2 linked regions of the Arabidopsis thaliana genome follow. The protein of the gene in region 1 interacts with the protein of each later gene in a pairwise test. Each region holds a gene or a part of one and is shown in the gene's direction. Other genes may lie near its edges. The genes, in order: MYB82 and AT1G74840.

The links.
Region 2: the proteins of MYB82 (region 1) and AT1G74840 interact in a two-hybrid assay, tested with the Arabidopsis thaliana proteins (one large-scale study listed by BioGRID).

What each region holds. Positions count from the first base shown.
Region 1 is NC_003076.8:21,342,599-21,346,319, reverse strand, and holds MYB82 (myb domain protein 82), read left to right. Parts: upstream 1-2,213; 5' UTR 2,214-2,351; coding exon 2,352-2,484; intron 2,485-2,577; coding exon 2,578-2,707; intron 2,708-2,780; coding exon 2,781-3,123; 3' UTR 3,124-3,218; downstream 3,219-3,721. Other genes in the region: AT5G52605 (Defensin-like (DEFL) family protein), read left to right, coding at 720-780, 893-1,104; AT5G52580 (RabGAP/TBC domain-containing protein), read right to left, coding at 3,472-3,721. UniProt on the Arabidopsis thaliana protein: Transcription activation factor positively regulating trichomes development. Has a function nearly equivalent to that of GL1 and can complement gl1 mutants.
Region 2 is NC_003070.9:28,114,796-28,119,515, reverse strand, and holds AT1G74840 (Homeodomain-like superfamily protein), read left to right. Parts: upstream 1-2,093; 5' UTR 2,094-2,198; coding exon 2,199-2,481; intron 2,482-2,644; coding exon 2,645-2,853; intron 2,854-3,009; coding exon 3,010-3,315; 3' UTR 3,316-4,073; downstream 4,074-4,720. Other genes in the region: PTAC2 (plastid transcriptionally active 2), read left to right, coding at 1-279; AT1G74830 (myosin-binding protein, putative (Protein of unknown function, DUF593)), read left to right, coding at 4,323-4,720.

The sequences.
Region 1 (3,721 bases):
GTCTTGTCCAAGTGAATCCTTTGTAATAATTTTAATGTAATAATAATATATGCTCATCTCCTCGTCTTGTTTCTTCTTCACCGCATGAGTATTAAATAATATGAGCAGAAGTTGTAAGTTGTAATAACGGCGAGTAAACGAGTTTATATAAAAGTTCGTCATAGAGCGCAACAACCGGCGAGTAAACCAAACCGATCTAAGTTTTGGTTTAGAGTTCAAACAAGAATATTACGACAACGGATATGTAGAAGATGTATGTTTGATGTATTTCACAAAGAGATACAGAGCTTGTTTATATACAAGTAATAGGCGTGAGCCTCAAGATTATATTAATTTCCTAAACTAGTGAATTGGAATATTGAGAAATGAATGAGTCTCTAATCATATCTCTTGACAGAATAAACCCACAGAAAATATTAGTCTGCATTACCTTGCAAACTACCAAAAACGTTTATCTAAATAAGTCATGTATGTCTTGTAATAATGTAGTCAAAGTTGGAATATCCAATCTTTTTGGAAACATGTTTTTAATTTGGTTGACCAAATATATTGTATTCCTTACAAATTTATTATGTGAGATAATGTTAATTCGAAGGATCCCTTGAATATAGTTAGAATTCTAATTATAAATACGAAACAACTCCTTCTTCATTCTCATTCAAATACAAAAATATCAAAAAATTCTTAATATTTTGATTTAACAAAGAAAAAAGAGAAGAATGGTTAGAACAAATGTTGTCTCTTTTGTTTTATTTGCTGCTATTGTATTATGTATACTATGTTTTTTTTGTATTTAGCACTAAAGCGTTAACCTTTTTTTCCGAAGTTTTTATGTTGGAAAATTAATTCATGTAATATTATTTTTGATTAAATGTAGGATCCATTCAAATAGATGGACAAAAACACATCGCACCCTGGATATTTGAAGACAAATCGATATGTTGTAAAGAACATCCGAGTGTTGGAAGGTGTCTTCCAGGCATCGATGATGATGCTGAGAAGGATGGGAAATGCTGGAAATTTTGTATTGAAGGGTGCGAAACAGGAGGTTTTTGCAAACTTTTTGAACATAAACATATATGTCATTGCAATTGTTCCGGTTAATATGCATCATGTAAAATTAATAAGGGTCATACGTATAACACAAAGATAAATTGTTCGAAAATTAATAAAGATCTAACTACATTGTTTGAAAATGATTACGCAATTATGAAGTTTTATCAGTCAGAAAGTAGTCATAATGCTATTATTTTATATGAAAGACAATAACAATGATGATGATAGCAAACAAAACTAGAGGCATGAGTTGCTGTTTGATACGACAGAGTAAACTCCTACTAAAAGTAATCTACATTTTACTAAGAAATATTCAAAGATTCCAATTTGGTATTTTAGTTTTTGTTATATGTTTCACATTTGGCACATATTAAATTTTATTATTTGTTTTGCTCCGCAAATTTACGATTATACAGATTTTTGGATCGGATCAAAGTGGATATAATGAATCGAATATGATACCACATATTTTGTTCAGTCTTCATTTTTTATAGGAAGGTACATCAATGAGATCTAGGCATGTCATTGTGTACTAAAATTTGAATGCCCTTTGTGAGCCAAACAAAAGTTACACAAAATAAAAAGATGGTTTCTTGTTGTAATAATTATCTTTTGGTACTATAATGTTTTTCGAAAGTTATTGACCTATATGGAATTTTCAGATTTTAATCGTGGTGTATCTTATGATATCATATTAAAAAAGAAAATAAGTTGAATCGTGTTTTCTTTTTAAATGTAAGTTACCAAATTCCATAATATTAAAATCTGAAAACTAAGAACTAGCTAGGACGTAGATGCATATATCACTCAAATATGTATATTAGACATATACCTCTCTTTTCGTTCTTAGATTTTTTAGATATTGATTTGTTATCCCTTATACACTAGTCTTGACTATTGGAAAAGCATTTTGAGCGAGAAAGAATATTTGAAACGCAACAACTGTAAACGCACAAACTGTATCTGCAATGCAATGGACTAACGCATGTATCGAGGTTGATGGCAATCTTCAACCTCTGATCTCCCGTGCTTATATGTTTGCCTTAAAAGCCAATAATTTGTGACAATGTTGAGGATAAAAACAAGGGAATAGAGCTTTTACAGCTCTAGTTTGCACGAATTTACAGTAGTGTTACTGTCGGAAAAGTGCAAACCACTGTTCTCTTTTTCTCTTCAATAATTTTAGTAGATAGTCCCCACATGTAAGAGTTAAAGTTGGAAACCTCAAACTTTTTGTGTATATAGTTAATAAACAGCCTCACTCACTTGCAAAACTGTGGAAGAAAAAATAAAAGATGGAATGCAAAAGAGAAGAAGGGAAGTCTTACGTGAAGAGAGGGTTGTGGAAACCAGAAGAAGATATGATATTAAAAAGCTATGTTGAGACTCATGGTGAAGGAAACTGGGCAGACATTTCTCGTAGATCCGGTTCGATTTCCAAATTTTTGTGTTTACTAGTAAAGGGGAGATGGGATTTTGGGACATTAAAGAATTTGTGTTTCTGCATGATGTTTTTTTCAGGGTTGAAGAGAGGAGGAAAAAGCTGTAGGCTGAGATGGAAGAACTATCTAAGACCAAATATCAAAAGAGGAAGCATGTCACCACAAGAACAAGACCTTATCATCCGCATGCATAAGCTTCTTGGAAACAGGTCTTTCCTCTTTCACCACTGATCATCCCTCTCATAAGTTTACCGATACTAACTTCTTATTCTTTTCCATCAGATGGTCGTTGATCGCTGGTCGCCTTCCAGGTCGTACTGACAATGAAGTGAAGAACTACTGGAATACTCATTTGAACAAGAAACCTAATTCCCGAAGACAGAATGCACCTGAATCAATCGTCGGCGCCACTCCTTTCACGGATAAGCCAGTTATGTCTACAGAACTGAGAAGAAGCCATGGAGAAGGAGGAGAAGAGGAGAGCAATACCTGGATGGAGGAGACCAACCACTTTGGCTATGACGTCCACGTAGGATCTCCCTTGCCACTTATTTCCCACTACCCAGACAACACTCTCGTGTTTGACCCATGTTTTTCCTTTACCGATTTCTTTCCTCTGCTTTAGGACTTTCCTGGATTTATCTCGAAGGATAAATTCTTGCATAGACTTTTCGAGTCATTATGTTATTATTGCTTTACTTATACAATTTACATCGAGTTACGTAGCCTACGCAAGAATTAATCCTAAATTGTGACAAGTCCTAATTCGCTGAGGATCGTATTCTTACCTTATGCAACTGCAGCACAATGCAGCAGAATACTTATCCCTAGCGATTTGCGAACCAGAGTAATTATTAAGTGGGAAAAAGAAAAAAAGCTTATGTCCTTTGCCTTAATCATTGTATGGGATTTCTAGTAAAAGCAATCCAAATTTTGGTAACATGTCCAGAAGAAAAAAGAAAAGTCGTATTACTTACAAAACATCATCTTCCTGAGGATATAAGGTACCGTCATCAAGGGGTAGAGAAGGAGGGGTTCCTGGAGGAATGCTAGCAGCACCATTTTCACCAGCTTCTATGCAAAGTGCTTCGGCATCTCTGACTGTTGAATCGAGATCAATATGCCCAGACAGCTCATTGATGAACTTTAAGAGAGTGTCAAAATCCATCTGTTCTCCCATTATCTTGCTGCGGCATCGCTTCAAGACCGCCACACAAACATAT
Region 2 (4,720 bases), on another chromosome or scaffold:
GCTTTCTCCTTCTTGCAGGATCATGTCTCGTCCTCATTTTCCTTCACGGGATGGAATGGAGGTCGCATTATGTGCCAGCGATCTCAGCTCAAGCAGTTACTGTCAACGAAAGAGCCAACTTCAGAAGAATCCGAAAATAAAAACCTAGTGGCATTAGCAAACTCGCCAATATTTGCGGCTGGAACAAGAGCTTCAACAAGCAGTGACACGAACCACAGCGGTAACCCTACACAACGAAGAACCAGGACGAAAAAAGAACTAGCAGGGAGCACAGCTTAAGAACTAGACAACGTAGTTTCTGTTGCCAAGTCCAGAAATCAAAGGCCTCTTCTGCCTTCCTCCATATAGACTGGTGGGTGAAAACTGTGGGCGTATTTCACAAGCACTCCATATCCATGATAACTATGCTATGGTTTCAAGCAGTAGAGTCAACCTCTGTTAGACAGAAGAAGCTGGAGAAGAAGATAAATGGTGATCTTAGTTTATATGAAGAAGCGTCTATATGAAAATCTCAAGTAAGTAGCCAACTAAGTGTTTTGATGGATTGTTAGACCCATGATTTTGCAGCCATAGATTTTTTTTCGTTTTTTTTTCCATTCAACTATGTTTTTGATTACTATAAAGCTAAATGCTAATGTAAGATCAAAGCTCTAGTTACAATTAAAGGATCTATTAATCAAGATTCCTCAGGGAAGCTCTAGTTTTTGCTTGTGACCTCACCTGATGAACTCTCTCTGTTTCGAAATCTAACTTATTACATAGCAATGACCCAACTCCACCCAGAATAAAGAAAACAATCTGTTGTGCAAGATTCCTTCTTCGGTCTGATTAATCTTTTTCTCTCTCTCGTCCTCAGATATGTGTTTGTTTTCTGATTTAGGAAAGTCACTACAAGTTTGTCATCCAAATTGGTAATAAAATAAGAAAAAGATTGGAGAAAGAAAGGATCTTCCTATAGTGCTTCACACATTACAACTTTAAGATTCCACTTTGTGTGCGCATAAAAGTAATGGTGGCTTTGCTTTCTAACCGATGCTAGTGCTTTGTGTGATTTTGCTGTCTTCCAAAACTATTTACCAAATTTTGTAAATACTTTTTAGAATCTTTTCCCTACAAATCTAAAATAGATAAATAATAATAGTATGTGATCATATTGCTTACAGTCAAATCACATCCTAACATTCTACTAAAAGACTAAAACTATCACCTTTTTGTTTTTTAATGCTATATAGTTGTGATCAAGTCTGGACATACGATCATGCTGTTTATACTACAATTAGGTCCTTAACAGCGTCTTAAAATTTACTCTTAGCTAGAAAACGACAAATTCGACTACACAATCATTTTTGTTGTTGAATTAGATTCCTGAAATTGTAAGTTTTTGTGTTGAAATTCAAAGTTATAATTTCCAAAAAGGATTCACCTGTCTCCCAAGATTTTTTTCTTAATAATCAACTCATAGATCCACAAGATATAGTATTTTAGAAGAAAAAAAAGTACAAGGATGGAGCTGTAACTAAATAGATTATTAGAGCAGAGTACAGAATCATTTCAGAAGCTGACTATTTTTCTAAGCTCAAGTTGCATGCGCTTAGGCCTTAGAGACATTGCGTTGACCAGTACATTATAACCTGTAGATTTTTATCATAAAAATACATGAGGGTAACGTTAAGAAAAATAAAAGCGTCGATTTCATTTCATTTTTCTCATTCTGTTATTTCATTTTTTTGTATTTAACTTTGAGTTTGCGAAAGTCAATAAATATTTCTTCGTTATACGACCTACATTTTTTGGTCGACATAGCGAAATACTTTTTTAACTTCTTATTATAGGATAACATTTATTTAACTCTTTTTTCGTCATCCTATAAGATTAATTAAACTACTAACAAAAAACCTAATAAATCTAGTCAGCCAATGAATAAAAAAAGTCTATCCAAATGAAAACTCTGTAGAGAGACAGGCAGGTAAGAAAAAAATACAAGAACAGACGAATAAAAACAAAACACGTGTCATATGGTACCGTCACCAACACCTACAACATGTAATAGTTTAAAAAGGAACCACGTGGCTTTTGGCTTATAAAAGGGTCCCCAAAGAAGCTCAGATCTAACTCACACCACTCCATTGCCCATTGCTCTGTGTACTTTGCTTCTTTAGGAGAAAGAAAGCACAAGGGGCAAAATCGGAAAGATTATCATGGCCGACGGTAGTACTAGTTCTTCGGAGTCCACTACCGCCTGCGCTGGAAGCGGCACAAGAAGAGAGATTATGCTGTTCGGAGTCAGGGTTGTGCTTGACCCGATGAGAAAGTGCGTGAGTTTGAACAATCTGTCTGACTATGAACAGACGGCGGAGACTCCAAAGATCGACGGCGAAGATAGAGATGAACAAGATATGAACAAAACCCCGGCCGGTTACGCCTCGGCGGATGAAGCTCTTCCCATGTCTTCTTCTAACGGCAAAATCGAGAGGAAACGAGGTATTACTCTTCGATTGAAACTTTTTTTTATCATTCCATAAATTTGATCACTTTAAACTTAGGGATTTGTTAGATATGGTTTGAGAAATGGACTATGAACAACTTTATGTTCATTTGGATTTAGAAAGATGGCTAATTTATTGGGTTTCTTTCTATTTCTTAGGAGTTCCATGGACTGAAGAAGAACACAAGCTGTTCTTGCTTGGGCTGCAGAGAGTCGGTAAAGGAGATTGGAAAGGAATATCAAGAAACTTTGTCAAGACCAGAACCTCTACACAAGTTGCTAGTCATGCTCAGAAATACTTCCTCAGGCGAAGTAATCTTAACCGTCGCCGCCGAAGATCTAGCCTTTTTGACATGACTACTGATACGGTAAATCTCTAATCCTTTGTGACTCTAGTAAGTTAAGTGGTTAGGTTTAGTTTTTAGCTTAGTTGTTTAAAAGAAACTAATAGAGAGCCTTTGTGAATTGTTGGTTAGTGAAAACTTAAGTATAACAAAACTGATTTTGCTTGGTTTTGTTATCAGGTCATACCCATGGAAGAAGATCACCAAGTGCTTATACAGGAGAACACATCTCAATCATCTTCTCCTGTACCGGAAATCAACAACTTCTCTATACATCCGGTTATGCAAGTCTTTCCCGAGTTCCCGGTACCAACAGGGAATCAATCATACGGACAGCTTACTTCATCGAATCTCATCAATTTGGTTCCATTAACTTTTCAGTCAAGTCCAGCACCGCTTTCTCTCAACCTCTCACTAGCTTCATCTAATCTTAATGAACCATCTCCTTCAATGCATCCAGCATTCAACACGATTGGAGTCGCTTAGAGCTTATCCTAAAGGTGAAAATCTGCAACACACCCTGTTTGTTTCTTTGCTGTACAGATAGGTCTTGACTTTGTTATAAAAAAATTCGTCAAATTTATGTATTTGGCTAAAAAAAATCTGTTGAAAAGAAGAATAATAAACAGAGTTTGGAGATAGGACTTAAGTGGGGTTTTAGGGTTCATAATCATCCTGTGTTTTTCCTTCCATGTTTGGAAGTTGTTGTAATACTCTCTAAGTTCATTCGTGTGGATCTATCAAAACTTATAAATCATATTAACGTTATGTTTGTTTTATTCATGATCTCAATCATAAACAGAGTCGTAGTACTTGCTTATCATGTGGCTATCTAAATCATGTTAGATGATTCATGGGGTTTTAGGGTTTTTATAATATATCTGATTTCCAAGGATAAGATATTTTATGTTTGTAGAATAATGTCATTATCTTTAATGATGCCAATAATGTCAAATTTTATTGGTCACTTCCATCATAGTGGAGCTTTTTCTTTTCCCATCAGATGCTTTTAATATATTTTGTGTGGGATGATTACATATTACCCCTGTTGCGTAAGCAATAATCTTCCAATCACAGAACATGATCCCCATTCATTAATCGACCAATCAAACAGCATCATTTTTATATGATGATGATGTATATGTGTATGTCATGTGTGTGTTGGCATGTCCTCTGTTTCTGTCGTGTATGGTTGTATTCAGTTTTAGCGTCAACGACAAACTTCTCCTCACGTCTAAGCGGGGAAAAAAAAAAAAAAAACGAATCCAGTTTATCTTTGTTTGTTTTGTATCTCTCTGTCTTTTGACATTGTCTCTAAATTTATCAATTTCAAATCTGCGACTATCCTTTGTTTTTGGGTACTTTATCTCATCAAATTCCAGCCCAATCTAGACTCTCTAAACCCAGAAATAGAAACACAAATCACAAAAGATTGAGATAGATAGATCATGATCTCTGTTCTTTGTTGATCTTTGACCAAAATTCGATCTCCTATGTATATACAATTGCTCTGTTTTTTCTTGTTCTTGTTTCTGCTTTTACAAGCCACAATGTCTAAACGTTCTTTCAAGAAATTTGTGGAACAAGAACTCGGATCTCTTCCTCATTTCCTCATCTACACTGTTCTTGAATGGAGCCTCATTGTTTTCCTCTTCATCGACGGCGTTATCGCCTTTCTGTCAAACCAATTCGCCAAATTCTTCGACCTCAACATTCCTTGTCTTCTCTGCACCAGAATCGACCACATTCTCGTCCCTAGAGACCCTCAATTCTATTACAACGAGTCAATCTGCGACTCTCACAAGAAGAAAGTATCTTCTCTTGCTTATTGCCATGTCCATAAGAAGCTCTCTGAGATTAAACATATGTGTGAAGGATGTCTTCTCTCTTT